Stegostoma tigrinum: one gene and its partners. The protein of the gene in region 4 purifies or fractionates together with the protein of the main gene of each other region. This does not show direct contact. Links are inferred from orthologs where the notes say so. Each region holds a gene or a part of one and is shown on either strand. Other genes may lie near its edges. The genes, in order: serine/arginine-rich splicing factor 2-like, surf6, ube3a and esr2a.

Region 1 (7,832 bases), on a different chromosome or scaffold from region 4:
TATTTCCCACTCAGACAATTTTCTATCTATGTTGCTACTGACTCTTAACTCATGTCCTATAACTTTACTGTTATCTGTTGTGTGACAATGTATCAAATGCTTTCTGGAAGTGCACATAGGCCACATCAAGAGCATTGTAATCACCAAGCCTTTCCATGACCATTCACAAAGATCCAGTTAATAAACAGAATTGCCCCCATGCACGTACATGAATAATCTCACTTAATGGCAGAATCTGATCTATACCTACGGACATGTAAATTCAGTCTCTGCAGTTAAAGCTGTCAATCAAATTTCATCTTTAATCCAGTCAAGAAATTCAAAAGTTCTAGATTGAAAATACTTCCAAATCCAGTGTATGACTGGATTCAAACAATAAATTCTTCATTTTTGGCACAGAATGAAACACATACAAGAGACATTCCTAACATGACAGACACTCGTACCAGATTTCCGTTTCTCAAACAGCTTTGCTGACGACCAAACTTGACAAGTTTTATCCTACGAACTTGAATTAGGGCTATCAAGTTTATTTCATGCTAATTCCTCAAAACACACATACACATTTATAAGCATATCACATCATACCTATTACTCATGTTGCCAACAACATTACGAAAACTAACACAGCTGTATGATCTAGTGTCTGTTTATTGAGAATTCTATCCCTTCCAACAAACTTTATATTGTTGAACCTTTGTTTTTCAGTAACAGAGACAAAACTGATCATTTGGTTCAAATTTGACAATAATCACTGGTACAGCAACTTGAAAGTACATGGAATATTTAAAAGTAGTAAAAGATTCCAAGGCATTTTACAAGTAAATAATTAGATAAAAACTGACACCCAGCTAAAAAAAGGACATATTAATGATTAAAATCTTGTTTAAACAGAAAGGTTTTAATAAACATCTTTAAAAGAATCAATGATACAGAAAGCTTGAATTCCAGAATTTGATGTCTATACAGCTGAATGCTCAGCTACTAACATTGGTGTGAATGGGGTGGAGGATGCAAAAAAGACAAGAGTTAGAGGAACAGGGGTGGAGGAGGTCACAAAAATAAGGAAAGGCATGGTTATGGATGAAGTTGAAAATATGGATAAGAAGTTTAAAAATCAATGTGTACTGAAAGCCACTGCACAGTGGCAAAATCAGTTTTCTACCATTTACAGTACTTTCAAGTTTGCACTTGTGAGATTCTCAAACTTAACACCAACTTTTCGTTGCAAATAATCTTCAACGTTTAATTGAATCTTGACGCATGAAGCTTAAAAGCAAGTTATACCAAGAAATAAATAATATTATCAACTTTTGATCTGGGTAGGGAGTGTAACCTTTGTCAATAGTATTCATTTAAATTGCTAGGAATTACAATTAAAAAGGTTCAAAATCTTTTGAGTGTGAGTTGCACACAGCCATCCCTTAAAATGATACTATACTTCAGGTATCTAACATATCCACAATATTGTCACGTTTGCCTATGATAAAGGCTTCCCTATCATTCTGAACGCCACTGATACATCATTAACTATTCCCCGCTCACAAACTCTCCCTGACAACAAACCTTCTGGCTGTTAAAAGGCATCCATACCTTGAACAATCCTAAAATGAATAACTTCATCCATTTTATTTCTAGCTATATGACAAGTCTACAAACTATTCATATACAAAAAACCATCATATGAGATTAAACCAATCCCTATATATATTAGAAGGCTTTTTACACATTAAAGCAAATGTAGCAACATTAGTAGGGAGCATAACCAGGATGGGACAAAGTGATAATTTTTAGTGGGGATCAAGCATGGCATGCCAAGGTGAGAAGTGACTGAGTGTGTCGACTGCTACTGTTAGTGATTAGACACCATTCTTTTTAGAAAAGCAGAAGAGGTAAGTGATCTGCACATACTTGGTATGCAACTATCTTAAATGGTTAACTTTAATTTTATTAATTCATGGGGTGAGAGCCAGGCCAGCATTAATTGCCCATTGAGCAGTCAAGCACATTTCTGTGGATCTGGAGTCACGTTTAGCCAAGCCAGGTAAGGACAGCAGTTTATTTCCCTAAAAGGAATTAATAAACCAAATGGACTTTTCCCGGCAATCAGTAATGGTTTCACGTTCATCATGAGACTTTTAACTCCAGATCTTTAAAAATTCAATTGAAACATCACGGCAGCATTCAACTTTAGGTTGCTTGAGCATTACATGGGTCTCCTGGTTAATAGTCTGGCTATAATACATTAGACTATCAACTCTCCTAACTTGTTAAAATGTTTTTCAAACTATGCACTGCTCACACACACAGCTTCAAAGTGTCTAAAACAACATTTCTGCAGCAAGAGAAGGAAGTTTAGCTTTGGTGATAATGGGAACTGCAGATGCTGGAGAATCCAAGATAATAAAATGTGAGGCTGGATGAACACAGCAGGCCCAGCAGCATCTCAGGAGCACAAAAGCTGACGTTTCGGGACTAGACCCTTCATCAGAGAGAGGGATGGGGTGAGGGCTCTGGAATAAATAGGGAGAGAGAGGGAGGCAGACCGAAGATGGAGAGAAAAGAAGATAGGTGGAGAGGAGAGTATAGGTGGGGAGGTAGGGAGGGGATAGGTCAGTCCAGGGAAGACGGACAGGTCAAGGAGGTGGGATGAGGTTAGTAGGTAGGAGATGGAGGTGCGGCTTGGGGTGGGAGGAAGGGATGGGTGAGAGGAAGAACAGGTTCGGGAGGCAGAGACAGGTTGGACTGGTTTTGGGATGCAGTGGGTGGAGGGGAAGAGCTGGGCTGGTTGTGTGGTGCAGTGGGGGGAGGGGACGAACTGGGCTGGTTTTGGGACCGCTTTGCAGAACACCTCCACTCGGTTCACAATAAACAAATGCACCTCCCAGTCGCAAACCATTTCCACTCCCCCTCCCATTCTTTAGATGACATGTCCATCATGGGCCTCCTGCAGTGCCACAATGATGCCACCCGAAGGTTGCAGGAACAGCAACTCATATTCCGCCTGGGAACCCTGCAGCCCAATGGTATCAATGTGGACTTAACCAGCTTCAAAATCTCCCCTTCCCCCACCGCATCCCAAAACCAGCCCAGTTCATCCCCTCCCCCCACTGCACCACACAACCAGCCCAGCTCTTCCCCTCCGCCCACTGCATCCCAAAACCAGCCCAGCCTGTCTCTGCCTCCCTAACCTGTTCTTCCTCTCACCCATCCCTTCCTCCCACCCCAAGCCGCACCTCCATCTCCTACCTACTAACCTCATCCCACCTCCTTGACCTGTCCGTCTTCCCTGGACTGACCTAACCCCTCCCTACCTATACTCTCCTCTCCATCTTTGGTCCGTCTCCCCCTCTCTCCCTATTTATTCCAAAACCCTCACCCCATCCCCTTCTCTGATGAAGGGTCTAGGCCCGAAACGTCAGCTTTTGTGCTCCTGAGATGCTGCTGGGCCTGCTGTGTTCATCCAGCCTCACATTTTATTATCTAAGATTAGCTTTGGTTTCGTTTTTGATCGTGACCTAATGAAATCTGCCAGAACCCGCTAATATGTGGATTTTAGACACCAGCAAAAAGACTCAGAACTGATAAGCGCAGCAATCTATTGTTACTTAACAAAGTCCAAAACAAAGAAAAGCTAGAGCTTTGATAAGATCCTATTCCACATTGTATACACTCACATATACATTTGAAAGCTTCATTTTAAAAGAAAAAAATTGCATCACAATTTTACATTTCCTTCTTCAGCCTGAAAAATGCAATAGGTTTAATGTATGAAAATATATCTCGTGAAAACTTCAAATTAAACTGCACTTAAACCATCTTATCAATCCAAAACCTACATCAGCAGTTTCATAGATAAACTCATCAATAAACACCCACTTCCTTTACAGATTTTCAGGGCAGTTAGACATTAAATTTATATTGAAAGTTTCAAAAAGCTTCCAAAGAAAACAATAAAAGTTACTAATTCCTTCCAACATTAAAGGAAATGATGGAAATCGCATGAATTCAGGTTCAAGAACTAAGCACTCACTTCTATGTTGCCGCCAGTTTGAAAGGCACTGAAAACTAACAGAAAGCCGCATCCCAAAATTATGACATTCATGAGTTTTGTTCCTTCTGGTGTCATTGTTAAACATCTAGGTATTTGCTTGGTGCACTGTTTTGTGGGCTCGGTAATAAGTTTTAGTTTTGACTGGCGAACTTCAAAATGATATTCTTTCAAATTCCAGGCTTTCGGTTGCAATGAGAATTTTGTTTGGAAAAACGGCTGATTCTCACTCTCTTTTCATCGTCACTCGCTCAGCCTTCTTCAACTGCTCCTCGCTCACTCATTTCGTCCTTCCCCTTCCCTCTCCTTCTTCCTGCCTTGCTCACTCCCCTCATCAAACACTCACTCCCTCACTCAGTCAGTCTTCTTCAACTACTCCCCACTCAGAAATCACATCAACCGCCACAATACCGGAAACACCAAGCGCGTGCGCCGCAATCGGAAATTAACGTTAGTCTTTGAATTTTTTTTCCTCTCAAGTTGATTGAACTTGATGTTCCAAAGCGGATAACGCCCCGACTGACGATTTCCTGCTTGACAACGAACGCAATGTTGAATGTCGTTGGCAGCGATGAATATGAACCGAATGAAGAGCAGGAGGCAAGTAAACTACAGTTCCCAGGGGGCGCCGCGGTTGCGGTGATTTAATTCCTGAGTCAGTGACGGAACAAAATATACGGAAATTATTATGTTGGCCTTAAAACATAGAGTGCAGCGAAAAAAAGTTTTATTTGAAGTTGAAATGTGCGTTTTTGGGACATCCTCCCCCTGGCGGTTTGGGTGTGTTTCCGGGTGACGCAGGCGCCATCTTGTGATTGTCGTTGGGCCAGGCGCTGGTTTTCTGGCGGTTTTCTATACAGAGCCGGCTCTATCACAGTCTCCTTCTAACTTACTGCTGTTCGGAAGCTAGGTTGATTTGTAGCGATGAGTTACGGACGAATGCCCCCCGATATCGAAGGGATGACTTCGCTGAAGGTGGACAACCTAACTTACCGCACGTCGCCCGAGACGCTGAAGCGCGTGTTCGAGAAGTACGGCAAAGTGGGCGACGTTTATATCCCCCGAGACCGCTTCACCCGGGAGAGCCGCGGCTTCGCCTTCGTCCGCTTTCACGACAAGAGGGACGCCGAGGATGCCATCGACGCCATGGACGGCGCGATGCTGGATGGCCGGGAACTGAGGGTGCAAATGGCGCGCTATGGCCGCCCGGCCGAGTCACACCGCCGAGGAGGCTCGTCCCGACGTTACGGTGGCGCCTACGGCAGGAGAAGCCGCAGGTTGGTGGGCGAGAAAGGGAGGGGAGGGTGGCGGCATCGCCGTGCTTCATTGGTTCTCTTCCCCTAAAAGTTTTGTGTGGCGGATCGAGTAAGGCACGATCAAGCTCAGCGCCCTCCACCCCTCTTGTCACCCATTCCTTTATGAACTTGTGGGAGTCGCCATTTCTTGGGGCTGGTCAAGAATTCTCGGGAACAAAAACAGAAGTTGCTGGAAATGCTCAGCAGGTCTGGTAGCATCTGTGAAGAAGGGGGAAAAAACATCAAAGCTAACGCTTCGGGTCCGGTGACCCTCCCTCAGAATTTCGGGAACTTGCTTCAGTTGTGATGGTAGGTATCGATTTCAACTTGTTCAAGTTCGGCTGGTCCTCGCCGTATAAACCTGCCTCGAAAAGGCAACAATTTTGGTTTAACTTCAAATCAAAAGCCCGGTTAGAGTTTTAAGCAACAAGTTTCGCTTCTTTCATCCCGAGTAGATACACATTTTCCTTTTGACAGTATTTTTTTTTAATCTCCTATACTGCCAGCTAATAGATACCGCGCCGAGGGAGGCTGTTTTCACAGGCTCTAGACAGTTATTAAAAACTGACTCTTTTGTTGCTCTTCTTGAGATAAGGATGTGCTTTACTGAGCCTGGGCGCAAAGGGTTTTGTGTCGTACAGTTATCACTCCTGAGATACTGTGAACTGGAGTACTTGGTTAAAGACGCGTTTATTTCATTTATTCGTGGTTGAGCAAATATTTAGGCAGGGGAACAGTTATAACAGATAAGTGATACCATTTTTTTTGATCTCGCAACATTCAAAGGAAAACGGAGATCAGTAGTAAACGTATATAATGGACGTTCTACAGAAATGAAGCATGTTCCTAAAAAGAATCTATTGCACCCCATTGTGAATTCCGTTTGGAATGAATTTTATAGACTTAGTTTCTGAAGTATTTCTTGAGTTTTGACCCTGATCTAGTTTATTGAGTTCCATGTATTTCTGTGTTCTAAAGAACAACTGTTTCTCATAACATGGTATTTCAAACCATGTAAACCTCTAGTGGGGGCTTGGTTGACTTTTTGGCTGTGTCAGCTTTTAGTAATGTGAGGACAACTGATTGTCTGTGGGTGCCATACTCTGCATTTGGAGAGAGCTGATGCTAACCATTCTGCTTTTTGGCAGCTGCGAATTACAGACAAAGTGGCATTCAATAATTAAATTGACACATGGGAGAATTGCATGGCTAAAATAGTTTAGAGATTTCATAGAAAAGCACATGTTGCTGGAAAAGCTCAACCTGGACCCAGAACGTTAACTCTGATTTTGTTCTTCACAGATTCTGCCAGACCTGCTGAGCTTCTCCAGCAACTTCTGTTTTTAATCCTGATTTACGGTGTCTGCAGTTCTTATGTTTTTTATTTAAAGATTTAATAGTTGTCTTAATTTCCCAATGTGCATGGGCTTATTGTTTTTAATATAAACCCAGTGAAGTGGAAAACTGTATTATGTTGTGTTTAATGAGCTCAAGAGGGAGAGAGTACTTATGGATAGGTAACAGTGCCTCTTGGAAAGAAACATCTCTAGGGGGGATTTCAGATAGTGAAAGGATTATCATCTTCTTTGCCCCTTGGTTACATTTCCTATCATTGTCACATACACAGATTAAAACTTGCACTTGAAGGGAGGCATTGAGAGATGATATTACCTATGAAGCTCAAATGCATACAGCTTTGGGTGTAGAGGGCTGTGAAAATTGGCAAACAATGGTTTTGTCAGAGATTTTGTACTTTTTATTATTTTCCACTTATTAATCTTACTAAAACTTTCCTTTCTCAGTCCGAGAAGACGACGTCGGTCCCGTACAAGGTCCAGAAGTCGAACTAGGTCAAGATCCCGCTACAGCAGGTCCAGGTCTCGCACCTATTCTCGATCCAGATCTCGTTCAAAATCGAGGTCTGTTGAAAGATCAAGATCGAAGTCAAAATCTAAATCAAAGTCAAGGTCTCGGTCTGTATCAAGATCTAGGAGTGGATCGCAAATGTCTCGAGGATCCAAGTCAAAATCCCGGTCGAAAACCCCCATATATTCAAGATCTCCACAGAAAGATGGAATTGGATCACCATAAAAAAGTGGTAAATTGCACCAAAGTGAGTAAATACACGAAAGTAATAGCATTATTTTTTGAATCATTCTCGAAAGTAATAATGCATATTTACAGCTTTACGGGTGAATGAATGACTAAACTATTAAAGTTGCTTTTGGTTATTGAGAAATTCTGAAAGGGGAAGTCTTGATGCTGACTCCATTGAATTTCCATTATTAGTCATGGGAGATAATTTTCCGACTACCGTTTTGTTGTTGAAACCATAGTATGTTAGTTTACCAGCATGTACGTACCTCTGTTTGTGCAGCTGAAACATTAATTCCTTAATGCCAATTCCACACGGACAGTTAGTAAATAGTACTGCAGACGGAGTAATCCTGTGTACTTGCATAATTTGTGAATTAATGAATTTAGTT
Region 2 (7,106 bases), on a different chromosome or scaffold from region 4:
GATACCGGAGGACCAATGAAACTGATTCTGGAGAAGGAGCCAGCCAGTGGTTTTGGTTCAGATAGCAATGCTCTCAAAGTGCTTTGATAGCCTTGAAACAATGCAGTTTTTTTTATTTTCAAAGAAATTATCGCGTTAAATGGGGGTCTGTTCAGTCTTCAGACCCTCCGGTGCATCAAATGCACGTCAATGTAGTCTTCTAGTTCGTTCTGTTAAACTCAAAATCTAATGTTTGTTTCCTTGATAAGCTGCTGTACAGAATCAAACTCCATTTGTGATTTTTTAAATGAATAAGGTATATTTTTGAAATTAAAAAAATTAAATCAGAAAATACTATTACATCTAAATGTTGAAAACACTCAAAAATATGTTTTGAGCTAATTTGCTCCATTCATGTCAGTTTCTCTAAAATCTCTTGTGTCACCTGACCTCTTTTTCTGACCTACTGAAATATTGGCTAATTTTGTATGGGTTTGGGGGTTTTCAATGGGCCCTTTCTTTTAAAAAAGTCTTTATTATACTGACTAAATTTTGAATTAACACAGGATAATATAGCACTGACTGCATCAATCAACAGTGCAGAAACAGTATTAATTGTTTTGCAGAGATAACAAGGTGTAGAGCTGGATGAACACAGCAGGCCAAGCAGCATCGTCGGAGCAGGAAGGCTGATGTTTCAGGCTTAAACCCTTCACTTTTCCGTGTTCTGGAGGTAGACTGCAAGTTTTAACTGAAATGAACAGGTGCAGAAAATAATGAAAAAGGCTGATGGAATGCTGGCCTTTATATCCTAGGATGGTGACGGCGAGCACGAGGGGTCATAGCTTTAAATTGAGGGGTGAAAGATATAGGACAGATGTCAGAGGTAGTTTCTTTTCTCAGAGAGTAGTAAGGGAATGGAACGCTTTGACTGCAACGGTAGCAGATTCGGCAACTTTAAGTACATTTAAGTCATCATTGGACAAGCATATGGACGTACGTGGAATAGTGTAGGTTAGATGGGCTTCAGATTGGTATGACAGGTCGGCACAACATCGAGGGCCAAAGGGCCTGTACTGTGCTGTAATGTTCTATATCGAGAGGAGTAGAAGAGGAGTACAAGTCAAGGTCTGGACAAATAAAGCCCTGGCTAGATCAGATGTGGAGTATTATGAGCAGTTCTGGGACACACCTTAGGAAGATATGTTTTCTAGCACTAGAGGAAGTGCAGTGTGGGACAGTTGAAGGTGAGATTACACAAAATACGGTATTATTTAAGGAGTGATCCACTCAAAGTTTCTAAAATATGAAGGGGAACAGATAACCATACAGGCTGAAACAATATCTGTTCATTTGGAAATCTATGATTAAGCAGCATTATTTAAAATTAGATCTAGATCTTTCAGGGTAAGTTACAAAGAAAGGTTTTCTACAGTACTAAAGTGGCTACACAGGAAAAAGGTTTTAATTGGTTGCAAAAAAAATTGAGTCATTCTGTTGTCAACAAAACACATAAATGTAAATTTTTTTCTTTAAAGCTTGAACACTATTCTGTGAACAGCAATTAGTGCTGGATCAACTACCTGTAAATTAAAACCTTAGATTGATAGATTGTAGCTAATCAGAGGAGTTAGAGAATATGAAACATAAATGGGTATATCAAGCTATGTTGCTAAATTGGCCATGGTCTCCGTTGGCTGAGGAGAAAATCGGCCTATTCAATTGCATACGTTCTTCAACTTTTTCTTGTATCGAGAAAATAGTTTCCAGTCTTTTCAATATTCCCTAATCACTACAACCTCATAAAGCCTCATTTTTAACAGACGACACAAATTAAAATCAATCATAGTTTTTAACTTTTGAAGAAGGGTCACTGCACCTAAAACACAGACTGTGGTACGCCTCAAAAAGATGCTGCCAGACCCATCGAATTTCTCCAGTAAATTTCTGGTTTTGGTTTCAGATTTTCAGCAGTTTTTTGGTTTACTTTTTTTTTAAACTTGCTGCTGCTAATACGCGGCATGCTTGCCAATGCTACTAATCAGAGGGCACAGTGGGAGATAATGGGACCTGCAGATGCTGGAGAATCTGAGATAACAAAGTATGGGGCTGGATGAACACAGCAGGCCAAGCAGCATCTTAGGAGCACAAAAGCTGACATTTCAGGCCTAGACCCTTCATCAGAAAAGGGGATGGGGAGAGGGTTCTGAAATAAATAGGGAGAGAGGGGGAGGCAGATCGAAGATGCATAGAGGAGAAGATAGGTGGAGAGGAGCGTATAGGTGGGGAAGTAGGGAGGGGATGGGTCAGTCCGGGGAGGACGGACAGGTCAAGAGGGCGGGATGGGGTTAGTAGGTAGGAAATGGAGGTGTGGCTTGAGGTGGGGATAGGTGAGAGGAAGAACAGGTTAGGGAGGCGGGGACGAGCTGGGCTGGTTTTGGGATGCAGTGGGGGAAGGGGAGATTTTGAAGCTTGTGAAATCCGCATTGATACCATTGGGCTGCAGTGTTCCCAAGCGGAATATGAGTTGCTGTTTCTTCGGGTGGCATCATTGTGGCACTGCAGGAGGTCCAGGATGGACATGTCGTCGAAGGAATGGGTGGGGGAGTTGAAATGGTTCGCGACTGAGAGGTGCAGTTGTTTATTGTGAGCTGAGCGTAGGTGTTCTGCAAAGCGGTCCCCAAGCCCCCGTTTGGTTTCCCCGATGTAGAGGAAGCCACAACAGGTACAGCAGACGCAGTATACCACATTGGCAGATGTGCAGGTGAACATCTGCTTAATATGGAACGTCATCTTGGGGCCTGGGATGGGGGTGAGGGAGGTGGTGTGGGGGCAGGTGTAGCACTTCCTGCGGTTGCAGCGGTAAGTGCCAGATGTGGCGGCGTAGGAGGGGAGTGTGGACCGGACAAGGGAGTCCCGGAGAGAGTGGTCTCTCCGGAAGGCAGAGATGGGGATGGAAAAATGTCTTTAGTGGTGGGGTCGGATTGTAGATGGCGGAAGTGTCGGAGGATGATGCATTGTATCCGGAGGTTGGTGGGGTGGTATGTGAGAACGAGGGGGATTGTCTTTTGGCGGTTATTGCAGGGATGTTCAAGGACTGCAACTTCCTCCCAGCAGTGGTCAAGAACGCCCTCGACCACGTCTCCCACACTTCCCACACCTCCTCCCACACCCCCATCCCAGGCCCCAAGATGACTTTCCACATCAAGCAGATGCTCACCTGCACATCTGCCAACGTGGCATACTGCATCCACTGTACACAGTGTGGCTTCATCTACATTGGGGAAACCAAACGGAGGCTTGGGGACCACTTTGCAGAACACCAAAGCTCGGTTCACAATAAACAACTGCACCTCCCAGTTGCGAACCATTTCAACTCCCTCTCCCATTCCTTAGGTGACACGTCCATCCTGGGCCTCTTGCAGTGCCACAATGATGCCACCTGATGGTTGCAGGAACAGCAACTCATATTCCGCTTGGGAACCCTGCAGCCCAATGGTATCAATGTGGATTTCACCAGCTTCAAAATCTCCCCTCCCCCCACTGCATCCCAAAACCAGCCCAGCTCGTCCCCGCCTCCCTAACTTGTTCTTCCTCTCACCTATCCCTTCCACCCACCCCAAGCCGCACCTCCATTTCCTACCTACCAACCTCATCCCGCCCCCTTGACCTGTCCATCCTCCCCGGATTGACCTATCCCCTCCCTGCCTCCCCACCTATACTGTCTTCTCCACCTATCTTCTCCTCTATCCATCTTCAGTCTGCCTCCCCCTCTCTCCCTATTTATTTCAGAATCCTCTCCCAATCCCCCTTTTCTGATGAAGGGTCTAGGCCAAAAACATCAGCTTTTGTGCTCCTAAGATGCTGCTTGGCCTGCTGTGCTCATCCAGCTCCACACTTTGTTATCTCAGAGGGCACAGTGGGCATCAGTCGTGGAGTGAAGCGAATGAAGAAGTTTGAGGAGATCCAAGCCCCTTCAACAACCCTCGTCCTTGACATCCTGCAATACCTCACCTCAACCGCTAGGACGGGGTTCTATGTGTGACGCATCACTGCGCCAGGGCGTGAAGCCGGCCGCAGAATGATGACGTAGGAGATGCACTTGGTAGCGTGTTTGAAGTGGGATTGAGTTTAGTGTTCATCACCTTGTTCTTCAATACCTTTCGATCAGAACTAGTCACTTTTGTTTTAATTTGCTGTCCACCTAACGCTTAGTTTTCCACCGGTTCCGTCCTTTACTTCCGTGGTGTTTGAGTTCTCCCCCTTTTATTAGGAAACAAACTTGGATCAAGGAATGGCTGATCCCAGCCTCGCCGCCAAAGACAAGTATTTTCAGATTTTGGGAAGCAAAGTGTGCGCATCCCAGAACCAGGAACCTCGTAAACGAAAGCTGGGTAAGGAACGCGTTACTCATCGTAATATGAAGGGATTTCCTGGCTTTCGTGATTTAATGAATGACGAGGAACGAAAGCAGTCCTGGTAGTACTATTCAAAAAGTCATACATTGTACAAGAAAATGCTATTATGGAAACTTCTAACTGAATTCCTCCAGCTTTACCCATCTCCGAGAATTGCGACCCCGCACCGTGCGGAGACATACTTCAACTTTTGTACTCCCCAAGCCTTGAAATCATCCCCCGAAATATCATTTTCTCACATTCTGTGTCACATCCTTTTAAAGTGCTTTTGAAACCGGCATTCTTGACCAAGCTTTTACTCATGTGTCTTCATACGTTCTCCTTCAACAGAGATAGGAAAAAGCCAGAACGTTGCTTTGTAGGAGGATGAGAACGTGCAGATTGCCTTTGAGCCCTTTAATGCATCCATTGTAGGCCTTCAAGGTCAAGAGTAAACTGACATTTTGTATGGAGTGGAAGTAAACCTATTGGAATTGTAGAATCAGGAGGTGACAATGTCATGAATAGGATTTCAGTAATAGATGAACTGGAGCAAGAAGAAGTGGAAATAGGTGATTTTTTTTGTATCACTGAAGGTGTGTGGAGTTAGAATCTCCACTCTGTTGTGTAGGATGATGAGGCTAAGAATGTGTTTTTTCAGTCTGTGGTGGAGAAACAGATGGAATAATTGGAAAAGTTTGAGCATGTTTGTGAAACAAATTGAAAAGTTGGTTACTGTCTCTCCAATATTTATGTGGAATAAACTGTAGTTAATCCAAGACTGAATGTTAGATAAGCATTTTAACAATATGGGAGGTGAAGAGATGTCATGGGACGTTGTTACCTTGCATATGAAATACATCCAATTTCTGCACAATGCTGTCAAGGTACGCTACACAGATGAGTAAAAGGATCCAAGCAAAAATTGATCTTTCAGGAATGTTGAGGCAACAGAGCGTGTGAAAGAATTAGCCACTGCAGCAGATATTCTGGATACAATTTAACAGATGAGGATGCTGAGTGAGTGTCATTGTACTTCGCTGAACAGTAGAGGGGGTGGTTGGTGTGACAGAAGTAAGGAACATGTTCCATGGCATTTAAAAAATGAATTAAACCATACAATGTATCATCTGGAGAAGGAGAAACAAAGAGGTCATTGATTCTAAAAGTTGAATATTTTTCTTTCATTGATGCTGTTTGACCATATGCAGCAGTTAATTCTTATCCCGCATCCACAGTTTTTTTAAACATTTACATTTTACTATTGCAGAAACTAAAAGTAAATTGGCATTATAAAAACATGGCAGAAGTGAGGATTAGAGTTTGGTGGATTGCAGGCTAACCTTTTGGAATTGTGGAATCTGGAAGTGTCAATGGCAGTAACATATTTTCAGCAATAGATGAAGGCAAAGGGAGGTGGAAATGGCATCTACAGAGTTCCTACAGCATTTTCCAAACCCATAGTCCGGTGCCTGGATGGAAATTGGCAGCAGATGCAAGGGAATAAAACCATCTGGTGTGCTTCTCCAAATGATATGTCATCATCACTTGGAATTTTTACGAAAATGAAAATACTGCAAACACAAAGCTGGAGAGAATAAATTAAGGTTAGTATATTGTGTTGAGGCCCAGATGCAGTGGCTCACTGAAACAACAGTATCTTTTGTTTTGAATACTGGTAAGTGGGTGGTTTCTTTCTTAGAAATCATGCAGATAATTATAATGTTACAGTGTGGAGATTAACTTGGAGAAATTTTCAAGTGATGCTGTTAATTATTAAATGTGAATTAAATGAAATTTTGAGTCTTGTTTAGATTATATGTGGTTTTGTTTGTGGTTTTTTTTTAGTTTCGAAGAACGAGATCTCAGAAGGTATGACCCAACCTAAAAAGAAGAAGAAAAGAAGAAAGGAAGCTCCTAAGGAGTTGAAAAATGTTCAACCAATGAGTGGGGGTCAGCCTAAAACTGTTCAAGGTGGAGTGAAAATGGACAAAATCAAGAAAAATACCAGAGGTTTGAGAACTATATTTTGCTATGAGTGCTGTTATCCTATTCTCCACTGGGGTAGTGAATTTAATCTTTCACAATTTAGTTACTTAGATTAAATGCTTCTACCTTCATTATTATCATTACCTTCAGATTTGATTATTTCAATGCACTCTTGGCCGGTCTCTTACATTTTACCTTCCATAAACTGGAGGTCATCCAAAATCTGCTGCCTGTGTCTTGATTCACAGTGAGCCTTGTTCACCAAACACCTCTTGTTCTCTGCCCCCCACCACCTCCTCTGTTTTCTGCATGTAAACTGATGTTTTCCCAGCTACTATCTGTTCTGAGGAATAATCACCAGATTCGAAACTCTGTTTTTTTTTTCTTCACAGATGCTGTCAGACCTGCTGAGCTTTTCCAGCAACTTCTATTTTTGTACCTCCTAACTGATCCACTTTGGCTCCCAGATAAATAGGCTCTGATGTTAAAATTCTTATCCTTGTTTTCAAAGGCCTCTCGTCTACCCCCTCCTAACATCTGTAATAGATATTTTTTAATCGTCCTGTTCAGATGTTATTACAACATCTGTCTGGTGCAGGTAGAATTTGAATCCTGACCTGCTGGCCCAGGGATAGGGATATTACCACTGCAGTGCAGGCGTCTCAGCATCAGCCAAGCACAGACAGCCGGGACTAGTTTAGTTTGGGGGAATGTGATTGGTATGGACTGAGGAGCCTGTTT
Region 3 (7,475 bases), on a different chromosome or scaffold from region 4:
TAAAATTATATTAACTTACAGATACCTTTCATCACAAAGATGCTTCTGATCAAATATACCGTTGTTATAACACAAGTGCTCGACGACCCTCGTGCCTCTGTGCAGATTCTTGATTTTGAACTCTCAGCTTGTCCCCATGTTAGTTCTCTATTGTAACAGGACTTAGCAAATGGATCTTAAGAGGCCTGGATGCTTCCCACCAGTTGGGGGGCTGGCGGTGTGGGAGTAAGGCACAATTCACTTCAGGCACGGGGAGAGGATGGACAGAAGGTGAAACGACGTAAGTGGAGTCACATCTTTGAATCACTCCAGCCCCTCACCAGACTAAGCCTCAGTCGTAACAACCTCCACCCCCTCCCTACACCTCATGTCCCCAACAACTACCTTTCACATCAGGCTTCCCCTGATCCATCTTGTCCCACGCAGATCCCTTTAGTGCACTCCCATTTGGCTGCTTCAGGATTCTTACATGCCTTCTGGATTCCTTCTCTCAAGGGACTCCCTTGACCTCTTCTCTCCCACACACCGACACAATTCAATGTGACCCAATCCCTCAACTTTCAAAAGCATTACTTCTGCGAGCACTTGATTTTGTGAATATCAAAATACTGGTATTCAAGTTAAAATTAAAAACATCAAAAATGGAATGAGGAGTCAGAAACAATTTCAAATGAAAAGTCACAGAACCTTTAAAGCACAGACAAAATATCTTTTAGCCTGTCCCATCTGTTCTGGTCATCAAGCATCTTTCTAATCTGAAACGAAAGTAGAAAGTGCTGGAGAAATTCAGCAGGATTGGCAGCATAAGTGGAGACAGAAACAGAGTTAATGTTTTGATTCCAGTATGATTCTTCAGAACTAGTTCTTAGTTCTGAAGAAGAACCACATCAGACCTGAAATCTTGGCCCTGTTATTTTCTCTTCACAGATTAGATTAGATTCGATTCCCTACAGTGCAGAAACAGGCCCTTCAGCCCAACAAGTCCACACTGCCCTTTGGAGCATCCCACCCAAAACAATCCCCCTATAACCTACAGATCCCTGAAAACTACGGGCAATTTAGCATGGCCAGTCCACCTAGCCCGCACATCTTTGGACTGTGGGAGGAAGCTGGAGCATCCGGAGGAAACCCATGCAGACACAGGGAGAATGTGCAAACTCTGCACAGACAGTTACCCAAGGCTGGAATCGAACCCGGGTCCCCAGTGCTGTGAGGCTGCAGTGCTAACCACTGAGCCACCGTGCAGCCCCATGATGTAGAAGACCTGCTGAATTTTTCTAGCAATTTCTGCTTTTGTTTCTGATTTGGGTTATTTTTTGTTGAGTGAGGAAATCAGCAGGCCTGGTATTATCCGTGGGCAAGTGTGTGCAGGAGGGCTTCCTGACATAGTATGTAGATAGGCCAACAAGGGGCGAAGCCATATTAGATTTGGTACTGGGTAATGAGCCTGGTCAGGTGTTAGATTTGGAAGTAGGTGAGCACTTTGGTGATAACGATCACAATTCTGTTATGTTTACTTTAGTGATGGAAAGGGACAGGTGTATACCACTGGGCAAGAGTTATAGCTGGGGGAAAGGCAATTACGATGAGATTAGGCAAGATTTAGGGAGCATAGGATGGGAAAGGAAATTGCAGGGGATGGGCACATTAGAAATGTGGAGCTTATTTCAAGGAAAAGCTCCTGTGTGTCCAAGATAAATATGTACCTGTCAGGCAGGGAGGAAGCTGTAGAGTGCGGGAACCGTGGTTTACGAAGGAGGTGGAATCTCTGGTCAAGAGGAAGAAGAAGGCTTATGTTAGGATGAGATGTGAAGGCTCAGTTAGGGCACTTGAGGGCTACGAGATAGCCAGGAAAGACCTAAAGAGAGACCTCAGAAGAGCCAGGAGGAGACATGAGAAGTTGTTGGCAGATAGGATCAGGGTAAACCTGAAGGCTTTCTATAGGTATTTAAGGAATAAAAGAATGACGCAAGTAAGATTAGGCCCAGTCAAGGATAGTAGTGGTAAGTTGTGTGTGGAGTCAGATGAGATAGGGGAAGCGCTAAATGAATATTTTTCAACAGTATTCACTCTAGAAAACGACAATGTTGTCGAGGAGAATACTGAGATACAGGCTACTAGACTAGGTGGGATTGAGGTTCACAAGGAAGAGGTATTAGAAATCCTTCAGAGAGTGAAGATAGATAAGTCCCCTGGGATGGATGGGATTTATCCTCGGATCCTCTGGGAAGCCAGGGAGGAGATTGCCGAGCCTTTGGCATTGATCTTTAACTCGTCATTGTCTACATGAATAGTGCCAGATGACTGGAGGATAGCAAATGTGGTTCCCCTGTTCAAGAAGGGGAGTAGAGACAACCCTGGTAATTATAGACCAGTGAGCCTTACCTCAGTTGTTGATAAAGTGTGAGAAAAGGTTATAAGGGATAGGATTTATAATCATCTAGAAAAGAATAAATTGATTAGGGATAGTCAGCACGGTTTTGTGAAGGGAAGGTCGTGCCTCACAAACCTTATTGAGTTCTTTGAGAAGGTGACCAAACAGGTAGATGAGAGTAAACCGGTTGATGTGGTGTATATGGATTTCAGCAAGGCGTTCGATATGGTTCCCCACAATAGGCTATTGTACAAAATGCGGAGGAATGGAATTGTGGGAGATATAGCAGGTTGGATCAGAAATTGGCTTGCTGAAAGAAGACAGAGGGTGATAATTGATGGGAAATGTTCATCCTGGAGACCAGTTACTAGTAGTGTACCGCAAGGGTCGGTGTTGGGTTCACTGCTGTTTGTCATTTTTATAAATGACCTGGATGAGGGGGTAGAAGGATGGGTTAGCAAATTTGCAGACGACACTAAGGTCGGTGGAGTTGTGGATAGTAACGAAGGATGCTGTAGGTTGCAGAGAGGCATAGATAAGCTGCAGAGCTGGGCTGAGAGGTGGCAAATGGAGTTTAATGCAGACAAGTGTGAGGTGATGCGCTTTGGTAGGAGTAACCAGAAGGCAAAGTACAGGGCTAATGGTAACATTCTTAGTAGTGTAGATGAGCAGAGAGATCTCGGTGTCCACGTACACAGATCCTTGAAAGTTCCCACCCAGGTTGAAAGGGCGGTTAAGAAGGCATACAGTGTTTTAGCTTTTATTAATAGAGGGATCGAGTTCCGGAACCAAGAGGTTATGGTGAAGCTGTACAAAACTCTGGTGCGGCCGCACTTGTTGTATAGTGTACAGTTCTGGTCACCGCATTACAAGAAGGATGTGGAAGCTTTGGAAAGGGTGCAGAGGAGATTTACTAGTATGTTGCCTGGTATGGAGGGAAGGTCTTACGAGGAAAGGCTGAGGGACTTGAGGCTGTTTTCATTGGAGAGAAGAAGGTTGAGAGGTGACTTAATTGAAACATATAAAATAATCAGAGGGTTAGATAGGGTGGGTAGGGAGAGCCTTTTTCCTAGGATGGTGACAGCGAGCATGAGGGGACATAGCTTTAAATTGAGGGGTGAAAGATATAGGACAGATGTCAGAGGTAGTTTCTTTACTCAGAGAGTAGTAAGGGAATGGAACGCTTTGCCTGCAACAGTAGTAGATTCGCCAACTTTAGGTACATTTAAGTCATCATTGGATAAGCATATGGACGTACATGGAATAGTGTAGGTTAGATGGGCTTGAGATCGGTATGACAGGTCGGCACAACATTGAGGGCCGGAGGGCCTGTACTGTGCTGTAATGTTCTATGTTCTATGTTCTAAGGGTCGCCTGAAATGTTAACTCTACTTTCCCGTCACAGATGCTGCCAGACCTGCTGCGTTTGTGCATTTCTGCATGTGTTCCTGCAGAGTTTAACCTTTGATGATGACTATCTCTGAAAACTTACTCCTAGGCTGTTGGTTGGTTAGCTCAGTTGCTGGACAGCTGGTTTATAGGGTAGGGGAAGTCCTATACAGCCTGGGTTCAAGTCCTGCTGCTAGCTGAAGCTCCCATGAAGAACCCTCTTGCCTGAGGCATGAGAAGACCTTCATGTTAAGGTCTTTTTCTCTCTACGGCGGCTGCACCTTAATGACACAAAGTTGTGGCACAACTGGGGCTTTAACTAAGTGTGAAGCTGGATGAACACAGCAGGCCAAGGAACATGCTGCTTGGCCTGCTGTGTTCATCCAGCTTCACACTTTATTATCTTGGATTCTCCAGCATCTGCAGTTCCCATTATCTCTGGGGCTTTAACTATTTGAGTTGTGGGGAGGTGCTGCTCCTTTAAGAGACCGGATGAGCGAGGGGGCGGGGCGAAGAGGAATGGCAGTTGCCATGCGCGGCGCAGCGCAGTCTGGGAAAGCGCCAGCGGGTGAGTCGCCCTCACACCAAGATGGCGGACCGGGGAGGCCAGGAGGAGCGGAGGCTGCAGGAGCAGCAGCGACAAGAGCGAGGTCCGGGCCAACGGTGGTGTTAGAACAGCTGGGCACCGACACGACACGATAGGGGAGCGAACAGAATTCGTTGCCGCGCTTTTCTGCAGGGTAAAATCTGCCGGCGGGAAGCGGAGACTGGGAGTGAGCCGGACGCTCAGCCGCCGCCACCAGAGGAGAAGGCGACTCGTTTGCGAGGCCGGGGAGGGAAACATATAACCACACATACGCGTCCCTCCCACCTTGGAGGCCTGTCCGCACGCCGGCCCTTGGGACAGGAGCGGAAAAAGAAAAGCCCAGGCTGGAAGGCAACCCGCTTTCGTATGAATTCCGCCGAGGCCAGCTCGGAGTGTGCGCCACCAGCGGCGAACGCAAGGTCGGTGTTAGTTTAAAGCCAACGCACCATCCCCTTCTCCCCACCACTCCGACCCACAACCCTACCCCCACCCTGGTGACCAGGACTCAGGGCCTAGCCTTTTATCTCTGTTTCGCTTTCCTTAATACCAATACGTTTTGTCTGATTAGTTAGCTTCACGTTTTGTATGTCCTTTCGGCCAAATAGTGATTTTTTTTTAAAAAAATACGAATTTATTGGTTTTGATTTTTGTTTTGGTTAGGAACTTGTTTGTTTCCTTCCTAATCTCTCGAATTTAGTTTTCCCTTACCGCCCCCCCAAAGAAAGTTAACCTGTGTCATATCAGATCCTGGGTTCCTGCTCGGTTTCCTGCTGAAGGTGAGGCCCCCGAAAGTTGATTGGTTGCCCTTTGGCGGGTTGGCGAAAAGGGTTTGTTTTTGCTTTGATGGAAAAACAGTATTGAAAATGCTACTACGAATGTCACTATCCGTGCAGAGAAAACACAAGTTAATGATCCTTCATCGCAACTCGTGTAGATCTTGGACCTAATTGGTTAATGCTGTCTCCCACTTCAGATGCTGCCTGTCCTGTGGAGTATTTTCAGTGGTTTTTGTTCACCTTTCAAATTGTACTAGATGCTGAAAAATGTCTATTACATAGATATTCCAAGTTAGGCATTGTGAATGTGGTCAAATTCAACTTAAATTGAAAAAAATTAATGCATAGTGTACTTTTTTCCAGCAATAACATGCTGTTGCAGCTAAATTGGTTGTTGCAACTTACTGGAGGCTCTGCTATGTTTAATTGGAAATGAAAGTGAGCTATGCAGCAAGAGAATATGACACCCTGAGGTCAAGATATTCTGATTGAAAGGGGGGTGTTTGAGGTTGAAGTCCTTTGCAGTAATTTTCTAAAAATACTGGAGAAACTCAGCAAGTCTGGCAACATCTGTGGAGATGGAACAGTTAATGCTGTATACAGTTTGAGCCAATTATAACTGTCTTTCAGAACCTGAAGAATCATGTTGAAATTAAAATGTTATCTCTGTTTCTCTGTTCACAGATGCTGGTAAATCTGAGTTTCTCCGGCATATCTTGTTTATCTTTCATGTCTCCAGCATCCACAGTATTTTGCTTTTATTGAAGTTGTTTGCATATTGCTGACAAGTAGTGCATAGGGCCAGATTTAAAGGAGAGAGTTGATTGTATAAATTATGAACTATTAAGTTGTAATGATTTGACAAGATTGTAGTTTGTAAAGCCTATCATAATGAAATCTGATCTTTTAATGGGCTTTATAAATAGGTACTAAACAAAAGCAAACATTTTTATTGGTTCTGGTGTCCCTGGAATTAAGCTTGCTACACCATTTCAGAGGCATTTGAGTCAGTTATGTTGCTGTGGGTCTGAAGTTACGTTGGGCAGACAAGGTAAGGACAGCAGATTTCCTAAAAGAGATTAGTGAACCAGATGGGATTTTAACAACAAATGAGTCTGGTTATATGATTACCACTAGACTAGCTTCTAACTTCATATTTTTAGATTTAAATGTCAACCTGTACCAGATGTAATTTGAACCCATGTTCCCAGAACATTTAAAATCTAGGGATTCTGGATTACTATTATGTTTACATTATCACTGTGCAACCATTTCCCCAGAAGCTAAATTTGCCAAACCAACAAACAAAATTTCACTACTTATTATCATATGGTGGGAAAGGGTATTTGGGGATAGTGTGGTAGAACTGACTGGATTTCTCAGAATTGGCACAGATTCAGTGGCTTGAATCATCTCTTGTGATGACTGTTGTAATTTCAACTGGAAACGTTGATAAATTGTGTTGTTTACTTATTGCAAGTAGCTCAAGGTAACATATCTGTTAGCAGGCTTCTATTCTGTAAATTGGTTTATTTCTTTGGAATCATGTTTTGCTTACAGTGACTGCAGCAGTGTAAAGTATGAGTGACGTCTTTCCTGTTATCCAGTCAGTTCTACCAAGTTCTTGGACTTGTACAATTCTCCCTATCCAGGGGCATCAGTTGTTGTCCTCCGTCTTGTGATGAAGTGGAATTGCGGCCTGAACAGCGCACGAGTATCTGAACATCATCTTGAATATTGCATTGCCCCAGATAGCTTCAGGATTTAGTAAATCAATAATTTTAATAAAACTTGATTGAGAGCAGTGCTGTGCCAGTTGGGTTTTAATGATCATATGTAAATATTAACTTGTACTATCACTTGCTCAGTGAAAAATCTTTCTTTTGTTTTACATATAACAACATATAATACAAATGGAGTGATTATCTTCACAAAATGTAGATATTTCAGATTTGGGTTTGGTGCAAAGTGTAGAAAAATATAATCCGCAACAGGGATTTCTACCCAGATATGAAGTTTCTTTCTGTTGAAACATTGGTTGATCAAGTGGTATTATCTAACTAATTTATTGCAAGAGATTAGATTTATTTCTGAATTGGCCATAATGGTCATTCTGCTTGCCTTCAAAATAACTTTGCTATGAATTGTTCTGTATTTAGGTCGTAAACACAGTAGAGTTGCTACAGTTAGTTGGACTAGGGAGTTCTGATCACATACGTTTGCACAGACAAGACCAGAATACCTCAGATCGGCTCTCCAGATGGTGAAGTTATGTAAGTGTATCTCTTCCTTGGCTTAGCATCCCACAGACCAGGAATGTCTGAACTGTAAACTGGCTCTGCCGTTTAGT
Region 4 (7,524 bases):
TTCCTGAGTGAGCAAAAAAGCTGCGCAGGCAGTCACTTAATGATGGTCAGTCAGGCTCACAGTATGATACATAGGAACAAATTGGAAGCTCCACACATTAATACAAAGGGCCATAAGACCATAAGACACAGGACCAGAAATTAGGCCATTCAGCCCATCAAGTCTGCTCTGCCATTCAATCGTGGCTGATATATTTCTCAACTCCATTCTCCTGCTTTCTCCCCATAACTCCTGATCCCCTTGACAATCAAGAACCCATCTATCTCTGTCTTAAATATACTCGATGTTTCCTACAGGCTGATTCCATGCACACAATGTAACAGTTAACAGTCAGTCATCATATCACAGGTGCATTGTGTAAGGCAACATCTTTAGCAGCCTGAAGAAGCTCTGAAGAAGAATCAGATTGGACTCTATGTTAACTCTGCATTCTCTCCACAGACGCTACTGATTTTTAGTAGCACTTTATTTTTATTCCTGATTTCCAAAATCTGTGCCTTATATTCTATTTTTCTTTCCCAATCTGGGCCACTTGCCATCCTCACAACTCCCCTCTTGCAGTATAAATGTCAGTTTCCCTTCACTTTGGTATTCTTGCAAATTGTCCTGAATGGTACAAGATGGAAAGTTTTTTCTATGCAAAAATGCGCCTTTTCTTTTCTGCAACGCTCATGCAAGTCTCTGTCTTTCCAATAATATTCCCTGACTACCGTCTCAGCTAGCCTGCTTTTGAGATTAAGGTTATGTTCCCTTGTTGCAGACTCCCCTTCTTATCTTGTTATGAGTTTGGATCAGAGATTTAGTTTTAACTGGGGTCTCTGCCTCTGTCAGATGGAAACTGTTCTGCTCTTTTGGCTGGGATTTACAGGAGATGTTTCAAGAGGCCAATGACAATATTTAGCTTCTTGGCTTAGTATGTCCAGCAATCATCATTTGAAGCCATCAGTTATCAGGATTTGATGAAGGAGTGTTTTGTAGGGACCCTCTGTCAGACTCAGAGTCAGTCAGAAAGAAAACAAGTTAGTATATTATCCCAACCAGCCTGCAGTTTAACGACTCTGTGCAGATAACAATCTGGAAAGAATCTAGATTCATTTTTATAATTAAAGGCAGATTAGTGAGATGCTTTGAAGTCAATTTTAAGACTTGAAATTAATTTGGGAATTGAGATTAGATCAGGAACAGCAGGACCAATATGTGAACGTTTTGGAAAAATGTTCACATCTAGCGGTAACAAATCAATCTGTGAGATTGCTGGTTGATGCAGTGACTCCTTTCAGAAGGATTGGAGTTTGAAGATTGGTTCAGATAGAGAGCATCTGAGGACAACAGCACAGCTCCTTTCATCCTGAGAGCCTGCTTTTACCATTCCACACGAGCTGGAGGCCACTCAGCCCCTTGACAATGTCTAGGACATTTCCACATAGCCCAGTGGCTGTTGTTCCCATCCTGGATGCAGAAGGTTGTGGGGTCGTCCCAGGTCTAGAGACTTAGCAGAAATGCAATATCGGTATTTACTGAGGGAGTGCTGCACTGTCTTGGCCACTGTGCTTAGGCATCACTCTCACTATGGCCCTGAATCATTATCCAAATTAACCCCTCTGCCCCATTCTCTTCCTCTGGCCCATCAGTCACCAAACTAATCCCACTGCCCGCTCACTCCCTGTAGCCCTGTATCAATCCCAAACTAATCCTTCGATCAGATCTCCCTCCAATTCTCTCTCTCCCAACGGGAACATCAGTTTCTCCAGAACAAATCTGGAGTTAAACTTCTCCGATCCCTGGAACCAAACTTGCTTCCCTACACTGTCCCGAAGGATCCTGCTCCCTTCGCGTAGTGTGGTGCCTTGACTGGGCTCAAGGCCCTGGTTGTGGCCTAACTGCAGCTTTACGGGGCAAGAACAAAAATGACTGGAGAAACACAGCAGGTCTGGCACCATCTGTGGACAGAGAGGGAGAGAGAGACAGAGATAATACATCGATTCTAGTTACCTTACAATTGAACTGACTGTAGCTGGGTAGGGATGGTATATATGTCTGAAAGAGCATCATTTTGTTTTCTGCTTGAGGACCCCACAGGTTTTAGGGCTCAATATTGAGAACAATAATGTTTGGGCCTGGGAACCTCCTTTCTACATCCTTTCTTCAGCCTCTGCCATGATTCTGGCTGATTTCCACACAGCTAACCATTTTCACCCACTAATGGCTCTTATTATCAGACTTATTCTGTCTCCCTGACTTACTATTACCCACTGATTTGTCTGCAAACTCACTCCCAATGGGTCCATCTTCACCTACTGCACACTCCTTTACCTCCCCTACCCCTTTATCCCCCTCCCAACCCCTGTCTTCAGCATAAATACCACCTTTTCCTAGCTACCATCAGGTATGAAGAAGGGTCACTACACCTGAAATGTTTACTCTGCTTCCTCTCCGCAGGTGCTGCCAGACCTGCTGAGTTAGGGCAGCGGTTAGCACTGCAGCCTCTCAGCACCAGGGACCCAGGTTCGATTCCAGCCTCGGGTGACTGTCTGTGCGGAGTTTGCACATTCTCCCTGTGTCTGCGTGGGTTTCCTCCGGGTGCTCTGGTTTCCTCCCACAGTCCAAAGATGTGCAGGGTAGGGTGGATTGGCCATGCAAAACTGTCCCATAGATTCCAGGCATGTGCAGGCTAGGTGGGTTTGCCTTGGGAAGTGCAGAGTTACAGGGATGGTGTGGGTCTTGTTAGGATGCTCTTCAGAAGGATAGTGGTGACTGGATGGACCAAATGGCCTGCTTCCACACTGTCAGGATTTTAGGAATTTTTCCAGCAGTTTCTGTTTCAGATTATTTTTTAATATACATCTGTGGGAGGGCTGGGTCAGTACTAATTGCCTGTCCTTAATTGCCCCTTGAGAAGATTGTGGTGAGCTCCAGTTCTTTGTTTTATTTCAGCTTCATGAATGCTCAGCACAACTTCTGTGTTTTCTCGAACCCTCCATTGATGAGTCTGTGTGCTTTATAATCCAATTGTCTCCTTCCGTCCGGTCGCTCTCATAGTCAACCCCAGACCCCCAAGTCATCAACAACTCCTTATAGCCCAGCAATTAAAGTCTACGTCTCACACCTCACCACCCCCATCTCTTCTGTCTCACACCTCACAGCTCTCAGAGAACAATGACCATGCTAAATGAGGCTGTTCGACCCACCATTCTTGTGTTGGTCCTATTCCCTTCTGCCAATCTCCTGCTTTCTCCCATAATCCCTGGGACACCATTCTTACCCAAACCCTCTCAATGATCCTGCCTCCACTACATTTCCAGGCGGTGTATTTTTAAAGTCTTAGTGAAATGTAGCTCGGGTTGTTATTTCAATTGTTCATTTCTTTGCTGATCTGGTTGTTCCATGGTGTGCAAACATTTTCTTACCCTACGAGGCAACATCATCACTGCAATCTCTGATTATCAGGCAGTGCATTCCATATCCTAACTACTCACTGGCTGAAAAAAAACTTTTCCCATCTCCTCATCCTTACAGCATCTGCATGTCGATCCTCACGAGTTGCTAGCCTGCTCTGAAGCTAGTTCCTAGAATCCAAACATTGTGGAATCAGGCCATTCAGCACATCGAGTCCACACTTACCCTCTGTAGAGCATTCCACCCAGAGTTACATCCCCACCCTTTGGCAACCCTGCATTCAGCACGGTCAATCCACCCTAACCTGCACATCTTGGACTGTGGGGGGAAACCGGAGCACCCAGAGGAAACCCATGCAGACACGGCGGGTGCAGCTGAATGAACACAGCAGGATCCTAAGATGCTGCTTGGCCTGCTGTGTTCATCCAGCTCCGCACCTTGTTACCTCGGATTCTCCAGCGTCTGCAGTTCCTATTATCTCAGACATGGGGTGGGGGGGAATTGTGCAAACTCCACACCAACAGTTGCTCAAGGGTGGAATCAAACCTGGGTCCCTGGCACTGTGAGACAGCAGCGATAACCCCTGAGCCACCCAAATTGGTATAGTTGGCATGCTGCTCAGTCTTTCTCACTCCTGCTAGTTCTAAACTCTGCATTGCTATAACCACGGGATGCAGGTACGGGGAATGATGGGGCTGGTTGGCCATGGATTTATAAAAAAAAGAGGACATTGACGGTTCAGTAGTTGAAATAGATGTGAAGACATAAGAATGTCTGGCCTAGACCCGCTGGTGGAATAGCAGAACACCCTCCCATCTCCCCACTGTGTCCATGTACTTTGGTGAGAGTCAGAGGGAGGAGGGGATTTGCAGGAGGAGTTGGAGGGAGGGGGTGTTGGAATGGTGCTGACTGACAACTGCAGATGGCGCTGCCTTCCCAGGGCAGTAAGTGGGAGTGAGAACACTGGCAGCTGAGCAGCGCTTCCCACCAATAGCTCTGTGTGTGTGTGTGTGAGAGAGAGACAGCGCAGCTGCATTCCTCAGCCTCCCTATTCCCTCCCCAGCTCCAGGGAGCAGCTTTGAGCTGGGGCTGCACAGAGACGCAGAGGCGGGGAGGGAGGCAGCAGCTGGAGACTGTGGATGCTGGAGGCCAACAGCGAGGTACCTGAGTTTGACACAACTTTCAGCAGGACCATGGACCGGGAGGAGCTGCTGAAGAGACGGTGAGCATCTGAGAGCAGCCTGCCCTGTGTACACACTCTCTCTCTGGGTACCCTCTCTCCTTGGGTCTCCCTTTTATCCCCTGTCTATCCCTCCCTCCCTTCTCCCCCAACTCTTCCCTCCCTTCTCCCCCAACTCTTCCCTCCTACCCCATCCTATTTCACATTCTCCTCGCTCCTGTCTCTTTCCCCACTCTCACCTCTCTCTCTCTCTCTCTCTCTTTACAACTAACTCCCGACACTTGTTTTTCATTGAGCTGTGATTTTTTTTTCTGAAACGCAGCAATCCTGTTAAAATATCCTGTCCGGGGAAATGTTTTCTTTTAAACGCCCACGTCCTCTCGCGGGCGACTTCAGATCCCTCCGTGAATTTCAGACTTCATGTGCTGCCCCGGACCCCCAGCATCCTGGGGTGTGGGGGCGGGAGAGAGAAGGTACTGCCCAGTGACAGGGGGCACGGGGGCTTACTCAGAAATTCCCAGCTGTGTTGTGTTTCATTCAGGGACTGAGCTGGACACTCGTGTTCACACTCAGAGGGTTTCGGTCCCCTCCGAATCCGGACTTTGATGTGGTGCCAGGTCTCACTGCACCCCTGAGAGGGCAGCCAGGGGCTATTGCCAGAGAGCGCACTCTCCCAGGCTCCACTGTGAGTGCTGACTAGCTATTTGGCCACATCAGGCATCACAGCAGAATGGGATCCTCACACTTGCCTCCCGTCCACACCCCCCCTCCTCTCTCATTTACTCACTCATTCTCCGCCTCTTTCTCTCTCTCACTCATTCATTCATCTCTCTCGCTCTACCTCTGCTTCACGTCTCTGTCACCACCCACTCCTCCCCTCTCTCTCACTCCCCTCTCCACTCTTTCTCGCCCTCTCTCCTTTTCCCCCCCTCTCACTCCCCCCCCCCCCCCCGTCTCCCTTATTCAGAGTTGGGATTGAAATTGATCATGGACTGGAGTGTAATAATTCCCCAATTTGCCCCAGTTTAGGGCCTTAGCAGTAGCCTAGGGGTAAAAGTCAGCAGGTCACAAATGCCTGAGCCACCCCATTCCCCCCCCCCCAACACTGGGCATTGCCCCCAGGCTGCTGGGGGAACTGGGACCGCACATAAGTTGGGATCACGTTTATTGGAAAATGTACTTCCGGCACCAACACTGATCATCTGCATCCCCAGCCAGACCACCCCTACAAATGTGCCTGAAGGGTTCTACATCCTGAGACAGCCTGGTCAGTGCCTGTGTGTAATCACCTGTCCAGGTGAGGCACATGAAAGCCAGTCTCAGTGAACAAACTGTAAACATTATCCCTGTGTGAAGGTGGCTTTGGTTCAGTGCTCACTGATTGAGAACCTGGTGTTGGCTTTGTAAATATCATCTGGAAGCCTTGGAAATGGTGTGTGTGAATGTGTGTGTGAGAGTGAGTGTGTCTGTCTATGTGTGTCTCTGTAGTGTGTGTGTGCGCGCATCTGTCTGTGTATGTGTCTGTGTGTGTGTGTGTGTGTGTGGGTGTGTCTGTAGCGTGTGTGTGTGTGTGTGTGTGTGTGTGTGTGTGTGTGTGTGTGTGTGTGTGTGTCTGTAGTGTGAGTGTGAGTGTGTTCCCTTATTCCTCCAGGTGGTGGTATTACTTAGTTTTTGAGAGAGACGTAGCTTATTGCAACAGATTGCTGAGTCTCCGTTAACCCTGCATCCTTCCAGTGCTGTTAGAGCATTCCACACTCAGTCACCGGTTAAAATATTGTTACAAATCCAGCCACAGCCCATGTTCAAGCAAAAAGCTTCACTCAGGTTGGAATCTTTGCTTTAGAGAAAACTCTCACACTTTCTTTTCTCTGTCTACGATATACCACGGACAGTGAACGTGCCCCCCTGCCCTATTCTCCTCTCTGGCCATCTCTCCTGCTGTTGTATTCACAATAGGGGCCTGTTCTCAACTGATCTGCTTAAGTGTCAGTAGGACAGAGGTAGGAATTGCATTTCAATATCATCCTTCTCATCCTCAAGATGTCCTCAAGTATTTCGCAGGTGGTATCTTTTTAAAGTGTGGTCACTGTTGAAAACATTGGTCAAGCAATTTGCACGCAGTGAGCCCCCATAATATGTCCTGTGATAATAATCAGAATATCTGCTTCAAAAACATAGAGAGATGGTCTCAGTGTTTTTGAAATGAAACATTGGTCAGGACACTGGAGAGAGCTCCCCTTTGCTTCTTAAATTGTGACTGTGGAATATTTTGCATCGACCAGAATCGGCTTGGACCTCAGTTCAATGTCTTGTAGAACAGAGCACCTCTGAGAGTGAAGCAGTCCCTCAGTACTGCACCAGAGGGTTGGACTGATTTTTCAGATTGAGACGTAGATAGAATTTTAGAATTAACAGCAATGCATCGCTTACCTGTTGGACCATCTCTTTTAAGACCCTACGATTGAGGCATCTGGATCCAGAGACTTGTCAGATGCCAGCTTCTTCATTTCGCTCAGTCCCACTTCCCCAGTGATTGTAATCTCACTGAGCTCCTCACTCCTGATTTACTGCTGTTACTGAGATGGCTTTCATCCTCTACAGCGGAAACTATCTGTTCATTTCGTCCACTATTTCCTTACTGTCTGCTATTAAATACCAATTCTCCTACTCTAGAGGTATTTAATCTTTTCCATTTTAAATACTCTCTTCCACTTTTAAACACTCCGAGCTAGCTTTGTCTCATAGTCTAATTTACTTTTACTCTGGATTAATATTTCAATCATATTCTGCTTTCTTTATACTCAGACTAATTATCCGACTTGCCACTTAACTTTGAACAGTCATGTGCCTTTTCCTTCAGTTTGATGCTTTCCTTAATTTTTAATGAATTAACTGCAGATGGTGGGTTGTCCCTTTTAGAATTTGTCTTTAACGTAAGTCTACACTTA

What was found.
Region 1: the proteins of esr2a (region 4) and serine/arginine-rich splicing factor 2-like purify together in Homo sapiens (affinity purification with mass spectrometry; 3 studies listed by BioGRID and IntAct, with this or other methods). This does not show direct contact. The link is inferred for Stegostoma tigrinum from reciprocal best matches to the Homo sapiens genes ESR2 and SRSF2.
Region 2: the proteins of esr2a (region 4) and surf6 purify together in Homo sapiens (affinity purification with mass spectrometry; 3 studies listed by BioGRID and IntAct, with this or other methods). This does not show direct contact. The link is inferred for Stegostoma tigrinum from reciprocal best matches to the Homo sapiens genes ESR2 and SURF6.
Region 3: the proteins of esr2a (region 4) and ube3a purify together in Homo sapiens (affinity purification with western blotting; 4 studies listed by BioGRID). This does not show direct contact. The link is inferred for Stegostoma tigrinum from reciprocal best matches to the Homo sapiens genes ESR2 and UBE3A.

The regions. Positions count from the first base shown.
Region 1 is NC_081375.1:31,151,613-31,159,444, reverse strand, and holds the start of serine/arginine-rich splicing factor 2-like, read left to right. Parts: upstream 1-4,793; 5' UTR 4,794-4,975; coding exon 4,976-5,328; intron 5,329-7,148; coding exon 7,149-7,437; 3' UTR 7,438-7,459; intron 7,460-7,832. Other genes in the region: UNC93-like protein MFSD11, read right to left, coding at 4,034-4,129.
Region 2 is NC_081364.1:19,300,308-19,307,413, forward strand, and holds the start of surf6 (surfeit locus protein 6), read left to right. Parts: upstream 1-4,055; 5' UTR 4,056-4,273; coding exon 4,274-4,373; intron 4,374-6,224; coding exon 6,225-6,389; intron 6,390-7,106. UniProt on the Homo sapiens protein: Binds to both DNA and RNA in vitro, with a stronger binding capacity for RNA. May represent a nucleolar constitutive protein involved in ribosomal biosynthesis or assembly.
Region 3 is NC_081359.1:94,324,258-94,331,732, reverse strand, and holds the start of ube3a (ubiquitin-protein ligase E3A), read left to right. Parts: upstream 1-4,319; 5' UTR 4,320-4,715; coding exon 4,716-4,768; intron 4,769-7,284; exon of another isoform or gene 7,285-7,398; intron 7,399-7,475. UniProt on the Homo sapiens protein: E3 ubiquitin-protein ligase which accepts ubiquitin from an E2 ubiquitin-conjugating enzyme in the form of a thioester and transfers it to its substrates.
Region 4 is NC_081363.1:3,531,825-3,539,348, reverse strand, and holds the start of esr2a (estrogen receptor 2a), read left to right. Parts: upstream 1-4,424; 5' UTR 4,425-4,535; coding exon 4,536-4,618; intron 4,619-7,524.